Caenorhabditis elegans: one gene and its partner. The gene in region 1 interacts genetically with each later gene. Each region holds a gene or a part of one and is shown on either strand. Other genes may lie near its edges.

The links.
Region 2: of daf-2 (region 1) and rsks-1, changing one enhances a phenotype caused by changing the other (phenotypic enhancement), as found in Caenorhabditis elegans (one study listed by BioGRID).

The regions. Positions count from the first base shown.
Region 1 is NC_003281.10:3,031,936-3,046,381, reverse strand, and holds the start of daf-2 (Insulin-like receptor subunit beta), read left to right. Parts: upstream 1-5,535; 5' UTR 5,536-5,600; intron 5,601-8,838; exon of another isoform or gene 8,839-10,841; intron 10,842-14,446. Other genes in the region: cutl-25 (ZP domain-containing protein), read left to right, coding at 455-726, 1,376-1,469, 1,518-1,605, 1,978-2,194, 2,389-2,507, 3,448-3,656. UniProt on the Caenorhabditis elegans protein: Insulin receptor-like tyrosine kinase which regulates metabolism, controls longevity and prevents developmental arrest at the dauer stage.
Region 2 is NC_003281.10:11,236,518-11,254,226, forward strand, and holds rsks-1 (Ribosomal protein S6 kinase beta), read left to right. Parts: upstream 1-8,602; 5' UTR 8,603-8,793; coding exon 8,794-8,858; intron 8,859-9,837; coding exon 9,838-9,901; intron 9,902-10,333; coding exon 10,334-10,492; intron 10,493-11,500; coding exon 11,501-12,537; intron 12,538-13,578; coding exon 13,579-13,906; 3' UTR 13,907-13,922; intron 13,923-14,574; 3' UTR 14,575-15,764; downstream 15,765-17,709. Other genes in the region: Y47D3A.14 (CMP/dCMP-type deaminase domain-containing protein), read right to left, coding at 1-65, 117-219, 289-338; aakb-2 (Association with the SNF1 complex (ASC) domain-containing protein), read left to right, coding at 634-786, 848-1,242, 1,294-1,570; Y47D3A.32 (uncharacterized protein), read left to right, coding at 15,956-16,005.

The DNA of each region.
Region 1 (14,446 bases):
GAAGTCAAAGTTTTGGCATTGAAAAGAATTGAAAATTAATAAATTAAAAATTTTTGCATTAACTCTTAAACTCAAAAAAAATTGAAACTTTTCAAAAAATGTTTTTTAGGTTAAAATTATTCACTTGTATTTTTATTTAAATTTTCATGTTGACCTCATTAAGAGCTTTCAAATGACTCCCATTATGCCTAGGTTGGTTCCGCCTATTTCGGGTCCCACCACGAAAACTACAGTACCCCGGGCGGTTTTCGTGACGGGACCCAAATTTTATAAAATTCTAGACATTCCAAACATTACACTTTTTCCAGATATCACAAAATTTTAACTTATTTAAAAAATTATTTTTAAAAATTCCAAAAATCCCAAAAAGGAAAAAAATTTCTGTAAAAGTTTACAAAATGCTGTTTATAACAGAAAGTACATTTTTCCGCTTTATTTCCAAAATTCATTTCAGATCTACGTAAAAGGGTCTCGCGGCACTCCGTCCTGCTCCAAATCCTACCAAATTACCCAGAATTCCACAGCTCTGGAGCTCAAAATAAATGCTCAAGAGCTGGAAAAATGTGGTTTCCGAGCGTGGCCAAAGCCGAATTCAAAAATGTGGCTTTTGTCGGGACAAGTGATTGTGGCCTTCCATCCAACACTGGTGACACCCTCAGATCGAGCTTTTCGTGCACATTGTGAATTTGAAGATTTTAAGCGAAAAACGGAAATTGGAATTGAGAAGTGAGAATTTTTGCATCAACTCTTAAAATACAAAACAATGTTTTTTTTTAAAGTTTTGTTAAGTTAAAATTGTTTTTTTGTATTCTCATTGTAATTTTCATGTTGAGCTCACCGAGAGCTTTCAAATGACCCCCATCATGCCTAGGTTTTGTCTATTTCGGGTCCCACCACGAAAACTACAGTACCCCCTTGTGTTTTCGTGGTGGGACCCAATTTCTCAAAGTCAGCGGAATATAGGCATGATGGGGGTCATTAGAAAGGTCTCAATGAGCTCATTTTGAATTTTGTGTTATTAAATACAAAATGTTTGAATTTTAAGAAACATTTAAATTTTAAGATTTTTTTTTTTGACATTTTTTGAAATTTAATTTTTGTTTTTGTAAAAATGATGAAGCACTAGAATTTGGTTCACCGAAAATTTTAAAATAACATCCATCATGTTTTTAGGAAATTTGGGTCCCACCACGAAAACTACAGTACCCCGGGGGATTTCGTGGTGGGACCCAAAATAGGCGGAACACAGACATGATGGGGGTCATTTTAAAGGTCTCGTTGTGCTGAAACTGTTAAAATTTCTCAAAATTTAGTTAGACTCTCGATTTTGAAAATATTTTTCAAAATTTCAGCAAAAAAATCTGAATTTTTTCAGCCTAATCCAAGAGCACGAGCTGATTCTCGGAAATTTTCAACTGCCAAAAATTTCAATGCACATTTTGCCAGCTGGAGAGGAATCTTTGACAACGGTGAGTAATTTCAGACAGATTTGAAACTTCAACTAGAAAAAATTTCAGAAAACTCAGAATTTTGAAGCCAATGAGCAGAAAGTGTTGAATGTTGGCGATCCTATAATGTTCGAGTGGAAATTGGAACAGGAACACGGTAATTTTAAAGAGTTTGAGAAAAAAAAGTTTTTTAGGCAAAAAAATAATTTACAAAATTCAAAAAAAAATTTTTAACATTTTTTGAATTTTTTTTTGTTGAAATTTTTCTAAATTTCACATTTCCTCGTCGACTTTCCAAATTTTTGTATTTCCTCATGTTAACCACATCGAGAGCTTCAAAATGCGTATAAACATGCCCAGGTTCCGCCAACATTGGGTCCCACCACGAACAACTACAGTATCCCGGGGAATTTCGTGGCGGGACCCAAACTGGGCGGAAACTAGCCAATATTGGGGTCATGTTGAAGCTCTCAACAACCTGAACAAGAAAAAATTATTTTTAAAAACCCGAAATCCCGAATTATTCCAGGAATATTCGGAATTCAACTCGAGAGGTGCTCTGCCGAGTCAGAAAACGGAAAAGGGATGAAAATTCTGGAAAATGGATGCTCTTTAGACGAGGAGCTTATTTCTGACACCACGTATTCACAGGATTTCTCGAAAATTTATGCGACTTCGCTGGCTTTCAAATTTCCAGAGGAATATGAGGTTTTTATCAGATGTGCAGTGAGGACTTGTGTGAAAAAGTGGGTTTTTTGGTGGGAATTTGAATTTTTCAGAGCGGAAATTGAGTTTTAGAATGAAATATGAAACTTTTGAAGTTTAAAGCTTTTTGAAAAAAAATTTTTTTTTCAAACTAAACAATTTTTTTTAAACTTTTTATTGAATATTATTATTTTTCTCCCAAATTCTGTTCCCCTTAATCCCCATTAATTTTCAGAACCGAGCACCTAGAAATCATAAATGGCGAGGAAGAGGACCTGTGCTCGGCGAGCAACAATTGCGGATTTGTCTCATTTGAATCGAGTCAGAGAAGTCGGCGACAACTTGTAGGGAAAAGTAAGAGATACTTTTTTTTCTCGAAAATTCAAAATTTTTGAATAATTTCAGAAAAAAAACCAGTTTTTTTCGAATTTTCTGAATGAAATTTTTCAAATTTTTCCGCAAAATTTTCTATTTTCAAAAAAAGTCAAGATTTTCCCAACTAAAATCCGGAAATTTTGACAAAATCGCGTAAATCGACACATTCTAGTAACTTGACAAAATCTCGTAAATCTACAAAATCTCGTAAATCTACAAATTCTCGTAAATCTACAAAATCTCGTAACTCGACACAATTTCGTAAATCGACACGTTCTAGTAAATTGACAAAATCTCGTAAATCGACAAGTGCTAGTAAATCGACAAACTCTCGTAAATCGACACAAAGTCGTAAATCGACAAACTCTCGTAAATCGACACAAAGTCGTAAATCGACATACTTTCGTAAATCGACACAATGTCGTAAATCAACCAAATCTCGTAAATCGACATAATTTCGTAAATCGACAAAATCTCGTAAATCGACACAAAGTCGTAAATCGACAAACTCTCGTAAATCGACATAATTTCGTAAATCGACATACTTTCGTAAATCGACAAAATCTCGTTAATCGACACATTCTAGTAACTTGACAAAATCTCGTAAATCTACAAAATCTCGGAACTCGACACAATTTCGTAAATCGACACGTTCTAGTAAATTGACAAAATCTCGTAAATCGAAAAGTCCTAGTAAATCGACAAACTCTCGTAAATCGACACAAAGTCGTAAATCGACAAACTCTCGTAAATCGACATAATTTCGTAAATCGACACAATGTCGTAAATCGACAAACTCTCGTAAATCGACATACTTTCGTAAATCGACACAATGTCGTAAATCGACCCAAACTCGTAAATCGACAAAATCTCGTAAATCGACAAAATCTCGTAAATCGACACAATATTAAACTTCCAGATAACAACAACACCCGTACCGACATCATCTACGTGAACGGTAGATTCCGTGTGGAAAAACAAAGTTCCCCGCAAGAAGCCCGTGCCACGTCACAAACAGAGTTCTGTATGCCTGACGTCATCTATTACCTGGGACTGTCTACAGTAGTCATTTGCTACCTGATTACCATCTCGACTACGGTAGTTTTCAAGTTTGGCGGTAGATTTTGACAATGTTCAACAAATTTTCAATTTTCAAATTTTCATTACTCCCTTGTATGGGTACTTCTACATGATTCTCAGTTTCCTTGAATATATTTTTTTCTAACTTTTAATAATTATCTGTAAATAAAGCTCTTGTTTTTATCATAATTTCCTGAAAATCGTATAGTTGAACTTTTAAAGTACACTTTGACTCACCGAGCAAATCCAGATGCCATTTTGTCATCTATTTTTCTGACTTTAAAATATCATCAAAATATGTTTGTCTAGTTTTTATACTATAGTTTATTTTGCGTTCTTTCTTTTGAATAACATATTGTTATAACTTTTTAGTGGAAATTTTAACAAAAAAAATTGCTGATTTACAGTTTAGGAGTGCTAAATTAGGTTTGCAAGACTTTGTGAATCTAATTTTAAATGTGTGTATATCTGTGTGGAGCAGAGTTATGAAAAACTGTTTTCACACAAAAATATAGCAAATTTTAAGCTCTACAAGTTGTTAGTTAACAACTTTTTATTATCTTTCCTCTTCGCTGAGGTACACGCGTCTAAGTGTGGTGAGTGCGAGAGCTTAGTGCGGCAGAGCCTTACTTACGACCGTTTATCTCATTGAGGAAAGGTGCTAGCAAATAATTCCAAACTAGTAATCTGTAGAAAATTTTAAGCTCTACAAGTTGTTAGTTGACAACTTTTTGGCAACTTTTTTCCCCGCAGAGATATGAGCGCCAAGCTGTGCAAAGTGCGAAAGGTCAGTGCGGCAGAGCCTTACTTACGACCGTTTATCTCATTGAGGAAAGATGCTAGCAAAAAATTTTTCACTAGTGAATTGTGGCAAATATGAAGCTCTACAAATTGCTAGTTAACAAATTTTTTGTAACTTTCTCCCTCGCAGAGAAATAAGCGCCAAGCTGTGCTGAGTTTGAAACCGCGCGAAGGGCAGAGCCTCATTTACGGCCGTTTATCTCATTGAGGAAGAGTGTTAGCAAAAAATTTTCCACTAGTGAATTGTAGGAAATTTTGAGCTCTACAAGTACTTCATTGACAACATTTTTGTAACTATTTCTCCCGCTGAGATACGTGCCTAGATATACGACCTGGAAATTGAAGCTGAATCTCGAATCTCTTCCCCTCTGGCAGAAAAAGTCGAATTTCCCTCCTTTTTCCTGCTATTTTGAGAAAAAAAAAATAATTACGCAAATGGCGCGAAACTTTTCTGACACTTTTCTGATCAAAAATTAGAGTTATGCAAAGAAACGAAGGAGCTATGTAGTGACGTCATTCTCGAATTTTAAATTTTTTACCAAACCTTCTAATTCTTGTTTTTCTCTCTATTTTTCCTAGTTTCTTTGTTTCTTGAATGTTCCCAAATAATATCGGCGGATTAATTGATAAGGATATCTATCAATGACATTGCCTCCTCTCTATAGAAATCTGTGTAGAAATAGTAAAAGTGCATTAAAAGATGATAAACGACCATCAGATTTCATCTTTTTCTATCTTTTTCATGGCGGAAATGTTGTTTACTTCTTTCGGCCTTGTTTTCCTGGTGTTTTTCCCTAATTTCGTGGGGTTCAAAAGAGTTCAAACCGGTCAAATGTCGCTTTTTTTGCAAAAAATATTGGTAGTAGCAAGTGCGCTCCATTGTCAATTTAGAGTTTTCACCATTTTTAGAGATGTTTTTTGTGCATTTTTGCAATGTTTTGAACTGAAAATTCAAGTTTTCAATTTATGAAATGTAGAAACTGTATTTTTCCATTGAAAAAAAGCTTTAAATCGACATTTTAACTGATTTTAAACATTTTCCCGGGGTACTGTACCTGCGAATGTGTGCAGCGGTGTTTGCGTACCCGCGCTTTCGTTTTTGATTTTTGAATTTCGTTTTTCACATTTTTCTTCGATTTTTCTCAATATTCCAGCTATTTTTCACGGATTTTTATCATTTTTTCGACAAAAGTAAGTAATTTTCTCTTTTTTTCCACTAAAATTCCCACAAAAATCGTAAAAATAGGGAGATTCAGGCGGGTTTTTTGATTTTTCACCGATTTTTTGCTATTTTCTTCATTTCTCAGCCGATTTTAGTCTTTTTTTTTGTCTAAATTATCAAATTTAACCTTAAAAATCTGCTAAACCATCTGATTCTTCGCTCACAGAACGATTTTCCCGTCATTTTCCAGTTTTTCCCAATTTCCGCCCGTAAAATTCCATTTATCCAATTCAAATTACGCCGAATTTGTTGCAATAGTCTTGGCACGGTGCCAATTGGATCTTTTCACGTCATTTTTGACCATTTTCAAGGTCTTTTCAATGCACTTTTAGGCTGCCTTTGTGAAAAAATAACGGATATTCGAAGTTTTTCGTGAAAAAAAGTGGAAAATCTAGGAAAAAATCGAGAAAAATAAGGTTTTTAAAAGATTTCAACAGACAAAACCACAAAATTTGCTCAAAAAAGCAATTAAAAATTGAAAAAATTACTTGAAAATATCGATTTTAAGCGATTTTGTTTTAAAAATACACACAATTTTTAGCGAAATCACACAAAAAATCGAGAAAATCCCAAAAATTTCGTTAAAAACCAACAAAATTAATGTGAAAATTGGTTTTTTCGCTTTAAAATTGATAAAAATTGATAAAAATTTATTTAAAAAATCACACTTCGGTCAATCTCTGGGCCATTTGCAGCAATTTAGCAATAAAAATAACGAATTTTCTGATGTTTTAGGCAGAATTTTGGAGATTTTTAGGGAAAATCTCAAAAAATAACCAAAAATCGCTTTAAAATTGATGAAAATTCCCATTTTCGCCAATTTCTGAACCATTTTTCCGCAATTTTGACCAGTAAATTGCAAAAAATATCGAAAAATTTTGGATTTTATAATCCAAAATTCTAAAATTTCAAGTAAAATTCAGCAAAATTTGGTGAAAAAAAATACAAAAAATTACAAAAAATTGGCTCAAAAATCAAATTTTTGCGAAAAAAATCGAATTTTAGCCCAATTTTCTTCGATTTCTTCCAAATTTTCACTCATTTTTCGCTTTTTTTCGCTCTTTCAATCAGAAATACCCCCTTAAAAATAAATATTTTCCAAAAAGTACACCGACAAACGATGAGCAAACAATCTGTGCCACGTGGGAATTGGTTTTTTTGTGTTTATTTTACAAAAAATGTCAATTTTTTGCTCAATTTTTCAATTAAAAATCGTAATAATTTGCTATTTTATAGTTTAAATTATTGATTTTTAGGTTTTTTTGGCGGGAAAAAAATAAATTTGAAAAAAAAAACGGCGGCGGATGGGGTACAACAACAACAACTCAAAGATCAAAAAACGAAACGCGAAAACATTTGAATTGACCCTTCGTTCTTTTTTCTATGTTTTTTTGCCATTAAAATTGAGTTTTTCGACGTTAAAATGCCGAAAATTCGATAAAAAACTGAAAAAATTGAGTTTTTTCCGGAATTTTAACCCCAAAAACCGAAAAAAAAATCCCGGAAAATCCCCCAGATTTCACTAAAATCTCCAGTTTTACCAACTTTTTTTTGTTAATTTAGGTACATTTTGTGGCCAAAATCAAAAAAAAAATGGTAAATAAACTACCAAAATGTGAAAAATTGGATATTAATTAAATATAAATTGAATTCTGGACAAAATTGAAATTTTCAATTGATTGAACCATTTTTCTATGTTTTTTTGCCATTAAAAATGAGTTTTTGGCGGTAAAATTCCGAAAATATAATTAAAAAATTAAAAAAATTATGTTTTCCCGGAAATTTAACCCCAAAAACCGAAAAAATTCTGGGAAAACTCCAGAAAAATGGGCAAAAATGTAGATTTTTTGGGCCATTTTTTGGCCATTTTTTCGCTTTAGATTTTAATTTTTTATCTGAAAAAAATTGGATTTTTATTCCCCAAATCTAATAATTTCCACAATTTTTTGACACCAAATCCTCTATAAAAATCGTTTTTTTTCATGAAATCTATTCAAAATCTGGCAAAAATTTTGATTTTTTCGACCAAAAACACCTCTAAAATGACCAAAAATCAACGATTTCATGAAAAATGACAAAGATTAGGTCATGTGATGCATTTTTTTTCGTTGTTTTATTACATGATATGGAATTGACAGTGTTCAGAATTTTTTTATTGGTCAAAATTTGGTTTTTCTTTGAAAAAATCGCAATTTATTCTGAATTTTTTGTCAGTTTTTGAACGCCGATTTTTGGCAAATTGCCGATTTTCTGGAAATTTTCAATTCCGGCAAATTGCCGATTTGCTGGAAATTTTCAATTCCGGCAATTTGCCGATTTGCCGGAAATTTTCAATTCCGGCAATTTTGCCGGATATCAATTCGCCGGATTTTTTGAGGGGATTTTTTAAATTACGCAAACCCACAATTTACCGAAACTTTCGGCAGTTGCCGTTTTTCCGGCAAATCGACTAGTTGCCGGTTTGCAGAATTTGCCAAAAATTTGGAAAACCGCAAATTGCCGACTTTGCTGTTTGCCGGAAATTTTCAGTTTCGGGAAATTGCCAGTTTGCCGGAAATTTCAATTCCGACAATTTGCCGATTTTCTGGAAATTTTCAATTCCGGCAATTTGCCGATTTTCTGGAAATTTTTAATTCCGGCAAATTGCCGATTTGCCAGAAATTTTCAATTCCGGCAAATTGCCGATTTGCTGGAAATTTTCAATTCCCGCAATTTGCCGATTTGCCGGAAATTTTCAATTTCTGCAATTTGCCGATTTTCTGGAAATTTTCAATTCCGGCAATTTTCCGATTTGCCGAAAATTTAAAATTTTTCAATTTGGGCAAATGCCAAATTTTCCGAAAATTTGAAAAATGGCAAATTGCCGATTTTGCCGGAAATTTCAATTCCAGCAAATTGCCGACTTTGCCAGAAATCTTTCTACCAACTCCGGCAAATACTGCCTAATCTGAAAATTTTTTAAAAAACTATCGAAAAGTGCCCAGTTTCAAAAATTCCTGAAAATTTGAAAATTCTAAGAAATTTGAGAGAAACATTTTTTTTTTCCAAAAATTCGAATTTCCCGCGCGCTCGCGAAACCTAACACCATTCTTTTTTTTTTCCTATTTTTGTTCAATCTATCAGATTCTCGTTGTTTACGTTGAGAAACATGTTCATCACATCACATCACACACACACACACACATTTCGTATTCCTCTCAGTTGGTTTTTTTCCCGCCTCGTCCTCCTCCTCTTCGTCTCAGCTGACCTCCATTTCGGTGTCCTTTGGTGCATCTCGGTGTCAGTTTCCAGTTGAAATACGCTGTGTCTCTACTCTCTCTCTCTCTCTCTCTCTCTCTCTCTCTCTCTCTCTCGGTTTTCTGCACGTGTGGTCTCTCTTGGTGTAGAGGCACCGGGCACCATCATTTTGCACTTTTTCTGTAGATTTTTTGGCTCAAAAATGGCACTGAAAATCATGAAGAATTGAGGAAAAGCTCAAAGTAAAATGAGAATTTTTAGCCTTTAAATGGGCGGAGCTTATGTAAGCGCCACCCACTTCTGGGCTCTCGTTATTTCTCGGCAATGTTCATGATCTCAACCAGGCGGCATATTCGGCAAACCCACATGTTTGAAATTTGCCGTGCTCGGCAAACTCGGTAAATTTGCCAATTTAAGAATAGCGGAGGCTGCAAAATGCATCATAGCTCATGTAGTGTCCTCATTTCGGTTTGATCTACGTAGATCTACAAAAAATGCAGGAGAAGAGGCGCAGAGTTCTCAACTGATTTCGCATGATTTCGCAAAAAGATAAATTCAATGCCCCTCTTTTTATTCGTAAATTGTCAAAATTCGAAATGCGATTTAAAATTTCCGGGAATTTTAGGGCATATTCTTATTAGAAATAACTATTACGGGAACAAAAAATTCCTAGAATGCGTATTACACAACATATTTGACGCGCAAGATATCTCGATGCGAAAACTACAGTAATTCTTTGGAAGATTACAGTAATGCTTGTGTCGATTTACCGGGCTCTCGATTTTGAAATAAATTAAAAAGAGCCCGTAAATTGACATAAGCACTACAGTAGTATTTTAAAGAGTTACTGTAGTTTTCGCGCTACGATATATTTTGCGCGTCAAATATATTGTGCAATACGCATTCTAAAAATTTATGGGGCTATTCAAGTAGTGCTGGATAATTTGAAATTGCTGAAAAATTAATGTATTAAAATACATAAAACATGTATTTTAATACATTTTGCAACTTTACCACGTGGTGCCAGAGTGTCTCATTTCGGCTTGATCTGCTATAGAAGTTGGACGCACTGTATTAAACTTGGTGAACTAAATTTGCACTTCCAGTTGGCTGTGTTCATTTTAAGACATTGAAGATCATTGTCTTTTTCTCCTTCGTCATCATCATCATTCGATTCAGAATACCCATCAACTTATTTCGTCGTCGTTGTTTTCGTATTCTCCATTCCCCCTGCGTGTGTCCCTGCGTCTCTCCACTACTATTCCCTGAATGTCTGCGTACTCTTTACCAGGTGTACTCTCTCGTCCCTCTTCCTCGTGTGTGTGCGCTCTTCGAAAATCGGCGAGTTTTTAGTGATGTGTGCTGCATTGCATAATAATCGTTTTTCTCATTTTTTGGGGCTTTCCAAAAAATTTAATTTACATTTTTAGTTTGTTTTGCGCCAAAATTAATGCAAAAAGAGTTTAATTCTCTGATTTAGGTTTTCCTGGTGATTTGATACGGAATATTGATTAATTTCGCGTGGGTTTGTTGAAATTTAGTTTTTAATTTGATTTTGAAGGCAAATCAAATTGCCGGTTTGCCAATTTGCCGGATATCATTTTGCCGGAAATTTTAGAGGGATTTTTGGGCAATTGCCGGTCGGCAAATTTTTCTGTCCGCAAATTCGGCAAATCTGCAAAATAGATTTGCCGGAAAATTTCAAAATGTTTATTTTCGGCGAATTGCCGGTTTGCCGAAAATTTCAGTTCCGGCAATTTTTCAATTTGCCGGAAATTTTCAATTCCGACAGTTTTCCGATTTGCCGGAAATTTTCAATTCCGGCAGTTTGCCGATTTGCCGGAAATTTTCAGTTCCGGCAAATTGGTGACAAATTTTCAATTCCGGCAATTTTCCGATTTGTCGGAAATTTACAGTTCAACCAAATTGCCGGATTGCCGATTTGTCGGAAATTTTAAATGCCGGTAATTTTCCGCTTTTCATAAAATTTCAATTCCGGCAATTTTCCGGTTTGCCGGTTTGCCGAAAATTTTAATTTTGGCAATTTTCCGATTTGTCGATTTGCCGGAAATTTTAATTTTTGCAAATTGCCGGTTTGCCGAAAATTTCAATTCCGTCAATTTTCCGATTTGCCGGAAATTTTCAGTTCCGGCAATTTGCCGATTTGCCGGAAATTTCAATCCTGGCATTTTGCCGATTTGTCGGAAATTTCAATTTTTGCAATTTTCCGATTTGTCGGTTTGCCGAAAATTTCAATTCCGGCAATTTGCCAGTTTGCCTGAATTTTCTATTCCTGTAACTTTCCGATTTGCCGTTTGCCGAAAATGTTTAAATCCGGCAAATTGCTGATTCGCCGGAAATTTTTAGTTCCGGCAACTTTCCGATTTGCCGTTTGTCGAAAATTTTCATTTCCGACAGCTTGCCGTTTTGCCGATTTGCCGGATATCAGATTTTTTCTCTTAAATTGTCATAGAAGTTGCTTACTTCCTCACAATAGAATTAGGACCTTCATATAGGATGCGTACAATTTCGCCGATCAAAATTGAACTTTTGCCGGTTTGCCGGTTTGCCGAAAAAAGTCATTTGCCGCCCACCACCCTATAATGTATTCCCACAAAACCACCCACACTTGGTTTTTTTTTCAAATTTTTATAACTATATTTATATATTCCCCACGCACAACCGTTCATACACACACATAAACGATGGTTGTTTTTGTCAATCATTTTTTGCTCTTTTTCTCTGCTCCTCTCTCTCTCTCTCTCCATCCGAAATTTCTTCTTTTCATCTCTAAATCTCTCGTAGTCTTTTAAAGTTTTTTCTCTCTATTATTTATTTCTTTTTTTTCTTTCTGTTTTCCACTCTATTGCCCCCCCCCCCCCGCCATGTGATTTTTTTAAAATATTATCACCAATTTTTGTTGGAACTACTGGCGTGACACTGTTGGGTTTTTATCAATTTTCCTGTAATCTTTTTGGAAATATTCGTTGGGAAAATGTATTTTTTTTTGCAATCGATTTAAATAGTTTGTAGGGATGGAAAATTGAATTTTCAAAAAAAAAATTAATGCAAAAGCGGAAAAATTATACAATTTTTAAATGAAAATTTCCTAATTTCGATTTTCCGATTTAAAAAATTAAAAATTCGCTGTAACTCGGAAAAAAGGCTGAAAGTCGATGATAATTTGTAAAATTTTCCGGCATTTTCCAAAAAAACTTTTTTTTTCAATTTTCAGCTATTTTCTCTCGGGGTATCGATTTTTTTCGGGGAAAATTCCTAAATTTTTTCAAATATTAAAAAAAAAAAAATTTCGCTCCAAAAAAGCATCCAAAATTGTCTAAAATTCCGAAAAACCACTAAAGAAATACGAAAAAATTATTCAAAAAGCCAAAAAAATTTCAATTTTGGCTAAATTCGAACTGCGACCAATCAGCGCTTCGCCCCGCCCACTTTTGAACCAATCAGATGGGGTGGGCGGAGTTCAGAGGCGCTGATTGGTCGGGGATTTTTCAGTTTTGAGCGAATTTAGCCGAAATTGAAAATTCGAGATTTTTCTTGAATTAATTCAAGAAAAAAAAATGGTCAAGAAAAAAATTTTTAAACTTCATTTTTTCAATTTCGGCTAAATTCGAACTGCACGACCAATCAGCGATTCGCCCCGCCCACTTTTGAACCAATCAAATTTAATTGTTTTTTTTTAAAACCAATCAATTTTAGAAAAAACCTCGTTATTTCAATTTTGTCTAAATTCCCTCCAAAATGAGAACTGCACGACCAATCAGCGCCTCTGAACTCCGCCCACTCCTTCTGATTGGTTCAAAAGTGGGCGGGGCGAATCGCTGATTGGTCGCAGTTCGAATTTAGCTGAAATTGAAAAATCGAGATTTTTCGAGGTTTTTTGAAGCGAAATTCCAATTTTTTGCAGTTTTTTAAGACCAACTGCTATGCAAATATTTCAAAATCTCACAATTTTGAGCAAATTTTCCCAGAAAAACTCAAAAATGTTCTCTCTGAAACTTTGTTATTGTTGTTGTCTCGTCTTCAAACATGACCATTTTTCTCTTTTTTTTCTCCCTTTATTTTTTTTTCTTTTTCATCCATTTAGCGTCCACATTTTACACATTTTTAAACACATTTACACAAACACATTTACACAAACACATTTTTTTTGGATTTTGCTCGTTTTTTTTTCTGCTTCATTTTTAATGATTTTTGACCTTTTTGTGGAGAAAAATATGTAGAAAAATGTCAAATTTGCCAAAAAATGAATTATAAATTTGAAAATTTTGATTTTAAATTAAAATTGCTTTGCTTATTTTCTACAAAACGTTTATTTTAAAAATTAAAATTAAGAAAAATATAATTTTTATTTTAAATATACCTTTTTCATGTTAAAAATCGATTTTTTCCAACAAAAAAAAATTAAGCAAAAAATATTTTTAAAATTTAAAATTTAAAATTTAAAATTTCGATTTTTTCCTACCAAACTACAAAATTATCCAAAAAAAAGTTTCCCACGAAAATTCCCATAAAATCGAGTGACCAGAGACCAAATCGATAAAACAAAAAAAAGTGTCGAAAACAGAAAGCAGCTGAATGACGGGGAAATGAAATGAGAAGTAAAGTTTGCGATAAACAAGTTTTCGAAATTTTGCAACAAAAAAAAAACCACCAAAAATAGTTATTTTTACTGATTTTTTTTTGTTGGAAAATGTCATAATTGTTTAAAATTCATTAGCCTTCATATAAATTAATTATCCTGAAGATGTGAACGTTTTTACGTTAAAAATATATATTAATCGAATGAAGCAATTTTCGAAAAATATAATATTTTTATATCCGTAATAAAAATTGAACCCAAAAACCGAATTTCATACTCTGAAAAACTCTGTTTAAAAAAAAAACTCCAAACTGTTTTTTATAGTAGTATTTTAGTTAAATATACTAAAACTGGTCCAAAACCACCGAATTTGATAATGAGACTACACAAAAAATTTCCAAAAATTTTTTATGGCAGGTCAACATTTCGAAAAAAAAGGAGCTAAATTTTGCTAAAATCTGAAGTTTTGCACACTTTTCTTAGTCACAGCCGTTGGATTTTAGTTTTTCCGAAATTATCACCGTTTGATCCTTCTGTTGGGGATTTATCTCGCCAAAATTCGTTGATTGAGGCAACTTTTAGGCCGATAGGCATCCAATAATGATCATTATTGGATGCCTATCGGCCTAAAAGTTGCCTCAATCAACGAATTTCCGCGAGATAAATTACCAAAATAAGGATTAAAGGGTGATAATTTTGATAATTTCAGAAAAACTAAAATCCAGCGGCTGTGACAAAGAAAAAATTTCAGATTTTAGCAAAATTTGCCTCATTTTTTTTCGAAATGTTGACCGGCCATAACAAATTTGTGGAAATTTATTGTGAAGTCTCATTACGAAATTCGGTAGTTTTGGAACATTTTGGGTCTAAAAAAGCAAAGTTTCAAATTTCGGTACCCCACCTTTAATTATATATCGAGTAACTGGTCTAAAAAAACATCAATTTTTCAAATGTTCAGTATTAAAGCGGCTAGAAAAA
Region 2 (17,709 bases), 8.2 Mb from region 1:
CCGTCTTTTCCGACTCTTTTCAAGTGTGAAAGCTCTTCTGGAAGTTCTGGAAGTCGCCTGATAATCTGAAAATATAGAATTTCGACTAATTTTGGGGAAAGGGTAAGTTTCCCTACTGTCCCAATAATTTTCTTGTTTTCAAGTCGTAAAGCTTGGAAGGAAGTCGATGGGATTGTGTCGCAAGTGAGAGTTGAATCCAGAATTGGGTAGACTTTAATTCTGGAATTTTGTTGTTGTTTTTGAGGATTTTTGAGGATTTTTATTTCAAAAATGGTTTTTACGGCTTACCTCATCGTATCGATTTTTCTAATTTTTTCCGGAGGCTCTTCCAGTGACATTTTCCTTGCAAATCTGAAAAAAAACTGTTTAAAAATAGATAAAACGGCAAAAATTAAATAAATAAATCCAAAAAATAAATATGGAAAAAAGTGTGCGGCGGCATTGCCTGCCTCCGCCCCGCCCACATTTCCGCGCCGCACCCGAATCATGTGCATTTTGCAGCTGTTTATTTATTTTTAATCCCGTCACTTTTATCAATTTTCGTCGGTTTTTCCGAGATTTCTCACATTTTTTCAATTCTCAATCTTCTTTCCACCTTATTTCATCGATTTATTGCGAAAATTCCAGAAGAAAATGGGCAACAATCAGTCTGGAGGGCCCGACGCCCGCTATGGAGGCCCAAACGACAAGGCGGGCCTCCGAAGGCATCGGATGATGAGCGAAACGGCAAAAATCGCCGGACAAGTACTCCCGAACCCGGATGGAGGACCGCCGATGATTTTTGATGTGAGATTTTCACAAAAAATCCCAAAAATTCCTTTTTTAAATTATTTTTCAATATTTTCAGGACGGAAATGAGGACAAATCCGGCGAATGCCCAGTGGTATTCCGCTGGAGTTTCACACAAAACGCACAGCCACGTGTCGTCCATATCGTTGGATCATGGGATAACTGGCAGACGCGGATCCCGATGGTAAAGTCGACAAACGACTTTTCGACAATCATCGACCTGCAACCCGGACAATACGAGTACAAATTCCAAGTGGACGGCTCGTGGGTCGTCGACGATAATCAGGGAAAGGCACAGGACGTTCATGGAAATGAGAACAATATGATCAATATTCAAGACTCGGATTTTGCAGTTTTCGAAGCGCTGGATGAAGACTTCCAGTCATCTACAGCCGGGGAGGTGCTCCGTGGCGAGTCGGAGAGCACCAAGAATCATGATACTCCGAATGACAGGTGAGAAAACTTCAGAAATGTTCACTAAAAAACTAAAAAAAACTTTTTCAGAGAGCTCGAAAAACTGCGCTCCTTCACCCAAGAGATCCCATCAATGGATATGCTTCGGAAGGCAGCCGGACCACCAGTAATTCCACCACAACTCATGCAGGTGCTTCTCAACAAGGAGACGCCCGAGTCATGCGATCCGAATGTGCTGCCGGAGCCGAATCATGTGATGCTCAACCACATGTACGCGCTCTCCATCAAGGACAGCGTTATGGTGCTCTCATCGACGCAACGCTATCGCAAGAAGTTCGTCACCACTCTTCTCTACAAGCCTGTCTAACTGTTTTTCTTGTTTTGTGGGGTTTTTTGTTGAAAAAAATCGAAAAAAATGCCCTGACTAATCAGCGATTAGCTCCGCCCACTATTGAACCAATCATACTGCGGTACGGTTTTTCCTATTTTTAATTCAAAATTTCTTGATTTCGCTCGATTATATTCTTTTAAAAAAAGTGTTTTTAACTATTTTTAAATAGAAATCTACCATTTTTCCCAAAATATAGCCTTTTTTGTCTCTATTTCTGAAAAAAATTAAGCAAAACGACATAAACTTATCGTTTTGCATCATCTTTTTTCAGGAATAAAGACAAAAATTGTTGTTTTCCGTTGCAAAATTCGGGGAAAAAAACCGAAAAAAAATCGATTAAACACAAAAAGACAGCAAAAACCGCGCCATGGGGTTGTGATTGGTTGAAAAGTGGGCGGAGCTAAGCCCTGATTGGTCGTGCTTCAAAATTGAAAAATCTCGATTTTTTTGGATTTTTTGTAGAAAAATCTTGATTTTTCAAGCTCCCGAGACCAAAGTTCCAAAATTTTCTCCCACTCTTTAGTTTTTGTATTATAGTCGCCTCTTTTTCCCCCATTAATTTTCTTTCTGTTCTATTTCCAATAGTGTTTTAAGAAACGAAAAACGTCGTAGCCAACTCTTATTTAATACGGTCTGCCCCCTTGGAACCCACTTTTACCACACTACCAATCAGCTGAGTGTATATACCAATTCTCAATGTTTCCCTGCCCCTTTTCTTCTTCTTCTACTTCCAACAGCTTTATTTTTCCTATTTTTCTCGTATTTTTCTTGGGCTTTCATGTAGGCGACCTCCGCCTGCCTCCCGCCAAAAATTCACGTCAAAACGCAGAGAATAGGCAAAAGTGAGGCGGACAGGTTTCAGGCAGACGTCTGAAACCGCGCCTGCCTACCATGGAAGCCCTAATTTTTGAAATCAGTTTCTTTTAAAAAATCCACTGTGAATAATTTGACATTCCAATTTGTTCACCATCTCCCTCGTTTCTTGTTTTTTTTTCCACTTTCTTTTTTGATTTTTTTTTATTTTTTTCGCCTCAAAAAAGATTCTGTCTCGTAGTTTTCTGTCCCTTTAATACATTTTTCATCGATTTTTCCCCTTTTGCTGGCTTGAGCTACAGTAGCCGTTTCGCACGGTACTTGTATATCTATGTTTGTGTGTGTTTTTTTTTAATTGAAAATTGTGCTCGCCCACGCTTGATGCTTTTAGTGCTTTTTAATCATTTTTTAGCTGAAAATCTTCGTCATTTGACTCTGTAACTGCGAATTTCGATTTTTTGCGACAAAAATAGGGATTTTTAGCTAAAAAATCCCACGTTTAGTCGTTTTTTTTAGGAAAAAATTCACCAAAACTAAATTTGCACTGAAAATAAACTTCAAAATGCGGATTTTTAGGCCAAAAAATAATAAAATCAATGATTTTCTGATCAAAAAAATCGATTTCAGAGCGGAAATTTGCCTGAAACTCGTAAAATGTATACCAAAATCGAAATTTAACTAAAAATCCACATAAAAATGCAGATTTTAATCTAAAAATCGTTCAAATTACCTTTTTGTCAGTAGAAAATCGAATTTTCATTGAAAAAACCGATTTCAGAGCGAAAAACCATAAAATTCCCTACAAAAAACGGGCTTTTGCAAGCTAAAAATTCGATTTTTAGCCGATTTTCTAGTGAAAATCACTCTATTTTCATGTTTTTCACTGAGATTTTGAGCATTTTCACTTTTAATTCGATTAGTTTCCACACATTTTGGCAACAAAAAAGAAAAAAGCCAGCGTTATTTGTTTATTTTCGAACATTTTTCGCCTCGTTTTTACTTTTTTTTTCGTTCTGTTTTCTGTTTTTCCTCGTGTCGCGAAGCAATTGTTTTTGTTTTTTTCGGTCTCTTTCAGTTGACTTTTCCTTCTCCTCTGCCACCAGCCAACAACAACAAATATGCCAAAGAGAACTGGATTTCGATGTGTTATTTTCATCGTTTTTTCGCTGAAATTCGCCGTTTTGAGCTCGAAAAATGAATTTTTGGAGAAAAAAAGCTTTAAAAAATTAGCAAAAAATTGAAAACCTTGAAAAATTGCCAAAAACAGAGGTTTTTGACTCAATTTTTCGAGTTAAAATGATTAAAACTTGCCAAAAAATCAGATTTTAACTTGAAATTAGGAAAAACTTATATTTTAAAGTCAAAACTTGACTTTAAAATATCAATTCTAAATAATTTTAAGCTAAAATCTAGTTGAAACGCAAGTTTTAAATGTTTAAATTCAAAAATTGATTCGAAAAACTCAATTTTTGACTATTTTCCAAGGTTGTCAAATTTTTTTGCTAATTTTTTAGCGAAAAAAAGTGGAAGATTACTTTTTTTGTCTACATTAACAAAAATATCTGCAAAAATTTGATTAAATACTAAAAAATTGCAATTCCCTAGTTTCTAACTGTTTAAATTCAAAAATTGCTTTTAAAAAAACTCAATTTTTGGCTATTTTTCAATGTTTTCACATTTTTTTGCTATTTTTTAGCAAGAAAAGTGGAAAATTACTTCTTTTTTTAATCTACATTAACAAAAATATTTTTGAAAATTAGATTAAACACTAAAAAATGTCCAGAAATTAGTAAAATTCGAGATAATTTGTAGTATTGTAGTTATTTTCAATGTTCACTGATAAAACGTCAAAACAATAATAAAAGCGACGAATTTTTGAATTTCAATATCAAAATTTCAAAAAAAAAAAACAAAAACACACTTTTTTTTTTGGAAAATTTTGGATTAAATCGATTTTTATCGATTTTGGATCATTGCAACCTGCCCTCCACTGATTAGATTCTAATTATCAGTGACACAAATGTCCTTCTCATGTACTATACTCCAGCAGTCTGCGTCTCTCTCCCTCCGATTGACTGGTTTTTTTCTTGAAGTGACACTAACTAACGAACCGAATTTACACTACTTTTCTTCTCCATCGAAACTATTTTACAACGTTTCTCACTTTTCGAAATAAGTAAGAGTAATAGGAATCTGTGAAAGTTGTGAAAGTTTTCAGATTAGATCGCTAGTTAGGCTTTTTAGTTATATAAGTAGTTACCAGTGGCGGATTTTTTTTGACTAATGACTAATTCGATGACTTTCTGTTTTAATTTAGTTTTCTGAATTCCGAAATATTCCCAAAATGCGATTTTTCAATTTCGGAAAAATCGATTTTAAAACACAAAATCACTGTCTATGGTCTCGGCTCGACCGGGTGTACGGTAGTTTTTGTTTTTGCGTTTTTCTAACGTGAAATCGGCAAAAACAATGTTTTTTCGTCAATGTTTCTCTTCAATTCGGCAATTTTCCTCGTTTTTTGCCGTTTTTGAAAGATACAATTCTTCTGTGCAATTTGCCAATTTTCCTCTGAAATTAGGCAATTTTCCCGTGCAGATCGGCAATTTTCCCTACTATTCGGCAATGTTCCTAGTTTTTACGCCGTTTTTGTAAGAACCAATTTTTATTTGAAATTCGGAAATTTTCCTGTGCAATTCTACAATTTTCCTGCAGTTCCGCAATTTTCCTATACAGTTCGGCAATTTTTCTAGTTTTTTACGCCGTTTTTAATAGGAAGAATTTTCTGTGCAAATCGGCAATTTTCCAGTACAATTTGCCAATTTTCCTAGTTTTTACTCTTCCTAATAATCCAAATTCCTTGTTGCTTCCCCATCTGCTCCGTCATCATTTCCTCCTCATCAGGCGTTGTCAAGGTGAAAGCCGTGTGAATTCACACGCGTAAACAAGCATTCGTGATTCATTTCCCATTTCAGGACTCTTACTAGTTGCTCTTTCTTCTTTTTCTATTCAGAGAATTTCTGTTGTACTAATACTGCAACTTTCACTTTCTCTCCCTTTGTAGTCTCGCCGAACTATCGCAGCTACTGTTGGCCGGGCGTTTAGTCAGAGTACAAGCGACAGAGAATAGATTATCAAGTTGGAGTGAATGCCAATAAAACTATTACCGATAAGAAGTCTCTCACAAATTTCGAATAGTGGAAATTTGCGATTTTTTGTGGTAGACAACTTGGAAGTTAATAATTTTCCTCTGGAAAATTCATCGAAAATCGGCGAAAACTAAGGTTTTCATTGGCTTGCCCAACCGATTGCTTAGTATTTCCAAAAAAACCGGCAAATTGGAGGAAATGCAAGAAAAGAAGCATTTTACGGCAAAATTGCTTATTCTTAATTGGTTTTTCATCGGCTTCTGTCGAGTTTGCCAAGTTTTTGCCAAAAACTTTCAATTTCTGAAATTGCTTATTGATCGCTCGATAACAATTGATACAGCGACAAGTGACCTATAAAAAGTTTGGTCTTTTTACACTTTGCAAAGTTCTCTTTTTTTCGACAAGCCCGGTTTGCAGCCACTGATTAGCCGGAGCGGCTGTTCGGCGAGCAGGTGAAGGCTCACTAGATGACTCCGGAAGAGAATTTGTTCATTGCAAATTTCGCTCGTTTTTGTCTTTATTCTAAATTTCGCGTTTTTACGGGCTTTTGAAGCTGTAAAATGACTCAAAACCGCCGAGAAACCGATTTTAACACCGACAAAATCACTGTCCCTGGTCTTGACACGACCGGGTGTACGGTAGTATTTTGTTTTCGTGTTTTTTGAAATCGGCAAGCAAAGCTCGAATTTTCCCGTGCAATTCACCAATTTTCCCGTGCAATTCGGTAATTTTCCACTGCATTTCGGCAATTTTCCAGTGTAATTCGGCAATTTTCCAGTGCAATTCGGCAATTTTCCCGTGCAATTTGGCAATTTTCCAGTGCAATTCGGCAATTTTCCCGTGCAATTTGGCAATTTTCCAGTGCAATTCGGCAATTTTCCCGTGCAATTTGGCAATTTTCCAGTGCAATTCGGAAATTTTCCATTGCAATTCGGCAATTTTCCAGTGCAATTCGGCAATTTTCCAGTGTAATTCGGCAATTTTCCCGTGCAATTCGGCAATTTCCAGTGCAATTCGGCAATTTTCCCGTGCAATTTGGCAATTTTCCAGTGCAATTCGGCAATTTTCCCGTGCAATTTGGCAATTTTCCAGTGCAATTCGGAAATTTTCCATTGCAATTCGGCAATTTTCCAGTGCAATTCGGCAATTTTCCAGTGTAATTCGGCAATTTTCCCGTGCAATTCGGCAATTTTCCCGTGCAATTCGGCAATTTCCAGTGCAAATCGGATGATTTTTCTCGTTTTCTCGCAATTTTTAAAAGAAAACCCAAAGTTTTTCAAAAATTTCAATCGAAATTTGATAATTCGAACCATGCGAAAAAGCGTGAATTTGTAATTCTCTCTGAATTGTTGCAAACCGCGGGTGGGGGGAGTGAAAAACGAGAGAAAGACGCTCCCCAATACAATATAGACACCATCAAATTTAAAGAGACGGATGCGCTTGCTCTGTGTCTCTTCTCTCTCTCTCTCACTTTTTTGGTTGAAGGGACGTTTCTATGTCTCTTTCTCTCTCTCTCATCTCTCTGGTTAGGTTGATCGTTCTCTGGTGCACTCTGTCGATTGACGTACTATTTCTTGTGTATGTGTCACCTCCCCAGTGTCCGTCCGCAGGTTTCTCTTCGCTTACACCAGACCACCTTTCCACGCTTTGTGTCAAATCAGCACTATCGATTGATTTGAACTTTTTTTTTTGGAATTTTTTTTCTGGTGGGGGGATTTTCGACCAATTTAAGTTAAAAATTTAAAACAAACTTTTTTTCAAAAAATAAACTTTTCGGTTTAAAATTATAAGAGTATTTTAAATAGTTGACTTTTAAAATTCTTTTGCGAAATTTGAAAATATCGAAAAAAAAAAATTCTTTTTCTCCTGTCATATCTTTAATTTGACGACTTTTTCTCGAAAAAATACCAATAAATTCGGTAAATTTCCGTTTTTAGTGAACAAAAAATACATTTTCTCTGAAAAATACAGGAAAATTCCGTTTTTGGTGTAAAAACCGAATTTTTAATAACAATTTTGTTTAAATTTAACGGATTTTTGAGTTTTTTTTTTAATGACATGAAATAATTTTTCTAAAATTTGTTAAAAGTGAAATTATCAAGAAAATGCTCTGAAAAACTCCGATTTCTCGGATTTGTTAATCGAAAAACGGAAAATCCGAAATTTTTGGTATTTTTCAGAAAAAAAGCGATAAAAATCTTATTTTTTTCCGCTAAAACTGGAAATTTTCGGGATTTTTCAAAAAAAAAATCGATTTTTTTTTGTTTTGAAAATTGAAATGATTGCTTCTAAAAATAAATGTTCTAGTTTTAATTTAACTTTAAATTATTTATTATTGATATTTTTTTATTAAAAGTGACGAAATATTACCGCAAATTCCCCATGTGATCATTATTTTCTGAACAAATGATGACATAAAAAACACCTGATCTCCCGGGAGAGGGGTCGAAAAACACTTTTTTTTGTTGTTTGAGAAAATACCAGAACACTTTGGAATTTCGCAACGACGAAATCAAATCTTTTAGGCTTCTTATAGTTTCTTATCGCCAAAAAATTGATTGAAAAGTGATAATGGAGACAGTTTTTTCTCGTTTTTGCCACGATTTGTGTGCTTTGAAACTGAAAAAAGTCAATTTTTCAGTGAAAAACGGAAAAAATTACGAATTTTCTTGTTTTTTTGTTTCGGAAAAAATTCATTATTTTATAAATTTTATATTTAAAAATTGACTTTTAATATATACAATAATTTCCATTTTAGACTCTTTTTTTTCTTTTAATTGTCATTTAAAAAAAACCTGAAATTTCAAAAAAAAAATCGATTTAAAAGGAGGATTTTTCTTTTAATTGCAAATTAAATATAATTTTCCACATTTCAAAATGCACGAAAAAAAAATCAAAAATTTAAAAATTCCCAGAAATCGACAGAAAAATGTGTTTTTTTTGTGCGTTTATTTCTATTATTAATTATCGTATCTCTGTATCTCTCTATCTTTTTCACAAAAATCAATCGATATTCCCATTATCTTAATAATTTTTTACCTTCTTGCAGGTTATACGAACCAATTTATATATTGTACACATTTGGATGGGCTGATCTCTTTGGAAACACACACCACTCCGTGCTGCTCCAAATTATCACTGCTTTTTTCCTTATTAATTACAAAAAATACAAATATCTATAATAGTACCTAATTAATTTTTTTTGTGATAAAAAATCCACAAAAACACGAAAAAAAAACGATGGCTGACGTGTTCGAGTTCGAGCTGGAAGGCCACGAGTCACAGGCATCGCCACAGCGTCATGCGTGAGTTTTTTTTTTTGGGTAAAAACATACAAATTGTGGGGAAAATCGGTTTTTTGCTTTAAATTTTCTGCGAAAATTGATGAAAAATTGCAGATTTTTCGTATTATAAAGTCAAAATCTGTACAGTTATAATAAAATTGATAAAAATTGAAGTTTCTGTAAAAACTTGTTAAAAACTTTAAAGGTGTTTTCACGAAAAATTTAAAATTTGCACTGGTTTTCAGGTTTTTGTTATCGAAAAAATGCTAAAATTTCGAATATTCCACAAAATTTTTCGGTTTTTTGAAAAAATTCAGATTTTTCCGACAAATTCGAAATCTGCAGTTTTTTGGAGAAAATAATTGCATTTTCAAATTTTCTACAATTATTGTAGAAAACTGGTGAAAATTTCGATTTTTTCCAACTAAAATTGTGATTTTCTGGAATTTTAGATTGAAAAATGACATTTTCGACTGTCAAAAACTGTTTTCTGAGCTGAAATATGCTAACTTTAACAAAAAAAATTTTTTCATAATTTTCGGAATTTCCGAACATTCCACAATTTTTCAAAAAAATTTACAGTAAAATTTTTTATCTTAAAAATCATTTTCTAATTTAAAAAATTCATTTTTTTTCAATTTTCCGATTGCACCAATGATCAGTGCTTTGTGTCATTAATCAGGTGATAACAGAGAGGAAACTACAGAAAATTGACATTTTTTAGACTAGAAAGTGGATTTTTTTGGTGAATTTTTCAAAAATTTGCGGAAAAATAAGCGAAATACAGAAAATTCGGGTTTTTCAAATTTTATCAATTTTATTCGAAAACTGTGCGGATTTTGACTTGAATAATTTTAAAAATTGGAAAATTCGCAATTTTCCATCAATTTTTTTTTGGAAAAAAAAATCTAAAAGAAAGCGTTTTTTTCTTCAAAACTGTGTGTTAAAAGCGAAAAATGGCTGAAAACTTAGAAAAAAATGTTTTTAATTTTTATTTCAGATATCACTATGACAACTGCACGGAAATCATGGAGGACGATCACATGTACAGCAATGTTGCTGATGTATGGTTTTTTGACAAGTTTGAGAGCTAAAAAAATCTATTTCCCATGCGAATATTAAGAAAATTCACGATTTTTGCCGTTTTTGACGGTCAAAAACGCTGAAATTCGCCCCGAAAATGCAAAATTTTTGCCACTTTCCCAGCTTATTACCTCAAAACTAAAAAATTGTGAAATTTCACCATTTCTCACTATTTTGCCGGCTTCTGACAATTTCAACGTTGCTGAAACGCTGAAATTTGCCGAAAAATAGTTTAAAATTATATTTCTGTGGTTTCTGTGCCTTTATCCTTATTGTCGACTGGAATTCTGGTATTCTCGGCTGAAAATGCAATAAATACCGTATTCCGGCCAACAATTTGCCAATAGAGCACATTTACCACTGGAGATGCGGAAGCTATGCTCAAATTTTAATTTTTTTTCTCATTTTTCCAGGGACAAATTTCTGCTCCACCGCCGAGCTCATCGTATATGGAGGATCCGATGATGGAATCGATTCAACTGTGTGCCAGTGCAATTAATCCACCAAATGTTCGTGTTGGACCCGAAGATTTTCAGCTTTTGAAAGTTCTTGGCAAGGGAGGATATGGAAAGGTTCGAAAATTGTCGTTTTTCTCAAGAAAAAAATTAAAAATTGTAATAAAGTTACTAAAAAACTGAAAAAATCCATTTTTAGCACTAAAAATGCTGAATAAATAAAAAATTTTAAAAAAATTAGCAAAAACTCAGATTTGGACTTTTTTGCGAAACTTCTACAGAGAAAACCATGAGAAACGTTGAATTTTCGATAAAAACCTGTAGAAAAACTCCAAAAATCAGCTTAAATGCGAAAAAATTACAATTTTGCTGCAAAACCCTGTAAAATAATTTCCACAGAAAGTACATTAAAAAAAATAAAAATCTTACTAGAAATTACTAAAAATTACAATTTTGATATTAAAACCTCTGACTTCCTTTTTTGATTAAAAATTCTACAAATTTCTTTTTTCTTTTCTCTGGAAAACCTGGAAAAATGTCAATTTCAATTTTTCACTCAAAAAAAGCCCAAAATCGCAACAGAAAAAAAATCAATTTCGCCTAAAAAATTTAAATTCTGTAAACTTCAATTTTTCCCAAAAAAAATGTGCGACAGAATATTAAATATGGTCAAAATCGCCCGAAAAATGTGAAAATTCTGAATTTCCAAAAAAAAAATCCACCTAAACCCTGAAAAAACCTTTTAAATTATGCGAAAAACGAAAATTACCATTAAAAAGCGGGGGAAAAAACATCAATTTTCAAAAAAAAACTCCGAAAAAATGAATTCAAAAAATTGAAAAAAAAAACTTTTTTCGTAATTACAATTTTATAAATTTCATTAAAAAATTTCCAAAATCGTAAAAAATCCAATTCCTACAAAAAAAGTGAAAGTTTTCAATTTTTTGCAAAAATTAACAGAAAAATCGCCTTAAAAAACAAAATGTTGTAAATTTCAAATTTTTGAGCAAAAACGAAAATAAAATCGAAAAAATTGAATTTTAATACAAAACCCACCTGAAAACCTTCTGAAAAAAAACACTTATTTTCTTAGTACAATTCTATAAATTTTTCAACAAATTCCAGGTATTCCAAGTGCGAAAAACGACGGGCTCCGACAATGGCCAAATCTTCGCGATGAAAGTGCTCCAAAAAGCGACAATTGTCAGAAATCAAAAGGATACAGCTCACACGAAAGCCGAACGAAACATTCTTGAAGCAGTCAAGTCTCCGTTTATTTGTGATTTATTGTACGCATTTCAAACCGGTGGAAAACTGTATTTAATCCTTGAATATCTATCTGGCGGCGAATTATTCATGCATTTGGAGCGAGAAGGAATGTTCATGGAGAACGTCGCAAAGTTCTATCTCTCGGAAATCGTCGTCTCTCTGGAGCATCTTCATCAGCAAGGAATCATCTATCGAGATTTGAAGCCAGAGAATATCCTTTTAGACGCCTATGGACACGTTAAGCTCACAGATTTTGGTCTTTGTAAGGAGGAAATCGAGGGAGATCAGAAGACTCACACATTCTGTGGAACTATCGAATACATGGCACCGGAGATTCTGATGCGTTGTGGACATGGAAAAGCTGTTGATTGGTGGAGCCTCGGAGCTCTGATGTTTGACATGCTCACTGGTGGACCACCGTTTACCGCTGAAAATCGCCGAAAAACGATTGACAAAATCCTGAAGGGACGGCTTACTCTGCCGGCCTATTTGTCGAATGAGGCTCGAGATTTGATCAAGAAGCTTTTGAAACGCCATGTGGATACCCGGCTCGGCGCGGGTCTCAGTGACGCGGAAGAGATCAAAAGTCATGCGTTTTTCAAGACTACGGACTGGAACCTGGTCTACGCACGGCAGCTTGAAGCCCCATTCAAGCCGAATATAGAGAACGACGAGGATACGTCGCTGTTTGACGCGCGTTTCACAAAAATGACGCCGGTCGATTCGCCGTGTGAGACGAATTTCAGTTTGAATGGTGATAATCCGTTTGTGGGATTCACCTATGTCGCACCGTCTGTGTTGGAAATGATGAATAAGGGAGGACATGGTGGAATTTCGGTGGCACATTTGGCTTCGTCTATGTCGAGAGCTGGTGCTGCGAAGAGCCCGAGAAAGTGCGTGGAATTTGTGGGAAATTTTTGCGAAAAAATTCGAATTTTTAGAAAAAATCGCCGAAAAAAAAAAACTGAAAAACTTAGAAAATTTGCTTTAAAAACTGTTAAATTGGTATTTTTTAGAAAAAATTGCCAAAAAAAAATTTCAAAAAAATTATGAAAAAAAGAACAGAAAAATAGGCATTTTTCGAAGAAAATGCCGAAAAAGGAAAATTGGAATTTTTTATTCAAGAAATCGCCATAAAAATTGGAATTTTTATCCGAGAAATGCTAAGAAAATCTGAAAAAATCGGATTTTTTCTAAAGAAATCGCAAAAAAAAAGGTTTTTTTTTTCCAAATAAATGAATTACCAACGAAAAAATCTAAAAATTGAATTTTTTCGAAGAAATTCTCATAAAATCAGAAAAATTGGATTAAAAAAAAAAAAGAATAATTTACCAAAAAAATCTGAAAACTTCGAATTCTTAGAGAAAATTTTCTTTAAAATTTAATTTCCGCATTTTTTTGGGAAATTTCTTAAAGCTCCAAAAAAGCAAATTTAAGGAAATGTATCAGTATCAGACTTTCAGAAATTTCCCTAAAATTATGGAAAATTCCAACAAAAAAAAAGGAAAAATGGAATCTTTTGAGGAAATTGTGAAAAAATTGGAATTTTTTGAAGAAAATTCCGAAAAATTGGAATTTATAGGAAATTGTCGAAAAAAAAGAAAAGAAAAATTGACTTTTTTCAAAAAACTGCTTCAAAAAATCTGAAAATATATTTAAGAAATTAACAATCTCCAAAAAAAAAAAGTACAATAAAAAATAATTCCAAGCCCGGTAGAGAAAGTCCAATTAAAGAAAAATTACTATAAATTTACCGAAAATTTTCTTTAAAATTTGAAAAAAAGATCAGTTTTTAGCAATAATTTTTTGAATTGCCAATTTACTAAAAAAAATCCCGAAAAAAATTTAAAAAAGCCTTTTTTATGCAATTTTTCTTAAATTTAAAATTTCTCCAAGTATATGAAAAATCCCAAAAATTTGGAATTTTTTTTCAGGCCAGGAGACCCAGAAACGGCGAGCATTCTTCACGGTGGTCACTCGAATTTGTTCGGTCACGGACCAAATAGTGAAGCCCCACAGGCTTTTGGATACGGAATTGGTAGTCAAATGACTACTACTACTGCTGGAGGAGCAGGAATTCAACAGCCATATCAATCATTTAGTGGTGGATATCCAGAAGATGATGCAATGGATACATCTACACCACGTGCTAGTGAAAGTCGTGAAACTACTACTGGAAATGGATCTACTACGACGACAAGACCATCAAATGTTGGAAGTTCTGCGTCAACACCTATTCCATTGCCGAAAAGGGTGATGTAAATGTGTGGGCGGAAAGGTGCGGAAAATTCAAATTTCCCCGAAAAACTTACAAAAATTGGAGTTTTCGTAAAAATTCCACGAAACAATTGTGAAAATCAATTTTTTCACCAAAATTCACCTTTTTTCCATGGAAAAAGCTGCGAAAATTCATAATTTGTACAGAAACTGATTCAATTCTCAACTTTGCATAAATTTTGATCTAAAAATTGAAATTTTCGCGCGGAAAAATTACAAATATAGCGTGGAAATTGTTTTTTTTTTCCTACCCATGAAAACACAGTTTTTTGTGGAAATTCCATTATTTTTGTGTAGAAAAATATTGAGAAATGACTTTTTGGAATGAAAATTGCTTTAAAAAAATTGATACAAAAGGTGTAAATTTTTTTTAAGAAAAAACATGCAAAAAAGGGTGAAATCAGTGAGAATTGCCGATTTTAAGCCGAAAAAATTCAATTTTTGAGAAAAATGTGTAATAAATTGTAAAAATTAATTTTTCAAAAAAATTGTAAAAATTCGATTTAAAAAAACCGAAAAAAGCGGAGAATTTCCACTTTTTTTTGGAAATTATTTTTTAATGGAAATTGAAAAAAGTAAAGTTATTTACTAGAAATTTATTTTCACATTAAATTTCACAACACGAAAAATGTAATACAAGTTTTTTTTTTCAGAAAATTGCCACACACACACACCTCTACACAAAATGCTCAATATTCATTCATGCTTCTTCTCCTTAACGTGTCGTTGTTCTTCCACTTTTTCTGAAAATTTTCACACAAATTTTCGAATTTCTTGTATCCATTTTTCGTTCGTTCGTTATTTTTTTTATTAACTTTACACTCTTAATGCCGATTTTTTTAAAAGGCGCTTCATCATCCCACCAGAGATTACGATCTGTGTGGACCTCCCGCGGGGACCAATTTCATGTGAAAATTTCGAAAAAAATTGATAATTTTGGCACTTTTTACCCCTAAAATTGAGTCTCGGCAGGGGGGTCGAATAAATACGGAGGTACTTTAATCTCTGGCTTGTTTTCATGTTTGGGATTCTTTTTTCTCTTTTATGCGCTCACTTTTTTTTCGTTCTTTACTCGTTTTTTTTTGTCTTTTTCGTGTAATTTTCCCTGTTAGCTCCCCTTTTTTTCGATAGAGCGCATTTGCATTTTGGAATTTTCAAAAAAATTTGAAATTTGCTTTTTTGCCGGGAAAAATTGACTCAAAACTCGAAATTTTGAAAAAATCTTAATTTCAGCTTTTTAAAAACAATTTTTCTGAAAAAATATCTCCAGAAATTTTTTCAAATTAATCTGAAATTTTGGGGTAAAAATTACAAGTTTTTCTTTAAATTTTTTTAGGATTTTCCGTGAAATTCACAATTTTTTCTTGAAAAACCGCACTCTTGGATTTTTTTGTCTTAAATTCAAAAATTTCGATTATAAAATTGCAAAAAAAAACCATTAAAGCAAACGCGCTCCACCGAGAAATCTTCAAGGGATACACACACACTTTATGCCGGGATTACGGTAGTCATTTTTGCTCATTTTTTTTGCTCTCCTTCCCCCAACTCGAACCACTATATTTGCTTCCTACCAACCCAACCCCTTTCGAGTATTATCTCGTGATATTCAATGTTTTCTTTATTACTATTATTATTAAATTTTCTTGTTGTTGTTGTTGTGAACAACCACCTCCCTTCCACCTCCCAAAATCAAAAGTGCCTTTTATAGCTCTGAAAACATTTGCCTTATTTTGTTCGAATTTCTTTTCTGAAAATTAAAAAACCACCGCAAAAAATCCCATTTTCCACAAAAAAAACCTTTTTTTTGTTAATTTTGGGCCAAATAAAGATGAATAGGTTTGACAATTATCGAGGAGATTCTACCTGAAGAGTGAGTTTTTTTTTAACACAGAGTGTAACAAATCGATCAAATAAAAAAGAAAGATAGCCCCCTTTTGATAAGGAGGACGTCTTCTTTCCAATGATAATCGGAAACAATCATTCCTTTTTTGAAACAGAAAATCAAAAAATTATTGATTTTTTTTCTATAAAAATATGGCAACTTTTATGGAAGGAGAAATTATCGAGGAGATTCTACATGAAGAGTGAGTTTTTTTTGAATTTCGGTTAAAATTGGAAAAAATTTTTCACCGAATTTATCGATTTTTATTCATGAAAATGGAATTTCGCAGGTGGCCGAGTTTTCTTTTTCGGCGGCTACGCTACAAAAGGCCGAGAAAAATTGATGAACGCGAAAAAACGATGGCCGAGAAAAATTGATGGCCTAGAAAAATTGATGGCCTAGAAAATTGATGGCCTAGAAAAACATTGATGGCCTAAAAAAATTGATGACCTAGAAAAATTTATGGCTGAGAAAAATTTATGGTCGAGAAAAATTTATAGCCGAGAAAATTGATGGCCTAGAAAAAAACATTGATGGCCTAGAAAAATTGATGGCCTAGAAAAATTGATGACCTAAAAACATTGATGACCTAAAAACATTGATGGCCTAGAAAAAACATTGATGACCTAGAAAAAACATTGTTGACCCAGAAAAATTGATGGCCTAGAAAATTGATGGCCTAGAAAAACATTGATGGCCTAAAAAAATTGATGACCTAGAAAAATTTATGGCTGAGAAAAATTTATGGCCGAGAAAAATTTATAGCCGAGAAAATTGATGGCCTAGAAAAAAACATTGATGGCCTAGAAAAATTGATGGCCTAGAAAAATTGATGGCCTAAAAACATTGATGACCTAAAAACATTGATGGCCTAGAAAAAACATTGATGACCTAGAAAAAACATTGATGACCCAGAAAAATTGATGGCCTAGAAAAATTGATGACCTAAAAACATTGATGACCTAAAAACATTGATGGCCTAGAAAAAACATTGATGACCTAGAAAAAACATTGATGACCCAGAAAAATTGATGGCCTAGAAAAATTGATGACCTAAAAACATTGATGACCTAAAAACATTGATGGCCTAGAAAAAACATTGATGACCTAGAAAAAACATTGATGACCCAGAAAAATTGATGGCCCAGAAAAATTGATGGCCTAGAAAAATTGATGGCCTAGAAAAATTTATGGCTGAGAAAAATTTATGGCCGAGAAAAATTTATAGCCGAGAAAATTGATGGCCTAGAAAAAAACATTGATGGCCTAGAAAAATTGATGGCCTAGAAAAATTGATGACCTAAAAACATTGATGACCTAAAAACATTGATGGCCTAGAAAAAACATTGATGACCTAAAAACATTGATGGCCTAGAAAAAACATTGATGACCTAGAAAAAACATTGATGACCCAGAAAAATTGATGGCCCAGAAAAATTGATGGCCTAGAAAAATTGATGGCCTAGAAAAATTGATGGCCTAGAAAAATTGATGGCCTAGAAAAATTTATGGCCGAGAAAAATTGATGACCGAGAAAAAATTTGTGGCCTAGAAAAATTGATGGCTGAGAAAAATTTTTGGCTTAGAAAAATTGATGGCCTAGAAAAATTGATGACCGAGAAAAATTGATGGCCTAGAAAAACTTATGGCCTAGAAAAATTTATAACCTAGAAAAATTTATGGCCGAGAAATGATTGATGGCCTAGAAAAATTGCCTAGAAAAAAGAAAAATCGGCCTCCATGACCTAGAAAAATTGATGGCGATCAAAAATTGTGGGCCGAGTTTTTTATTTCTCGCGGCCAAGTTACACGAAGGCCCCGCCCCTTTCTTGGTCAGTTTTCGAAAATATTATAATTTCTGCCTAGAATGAGGCGGGGCTTATCCGGACACGCCCATTTTTCCAAA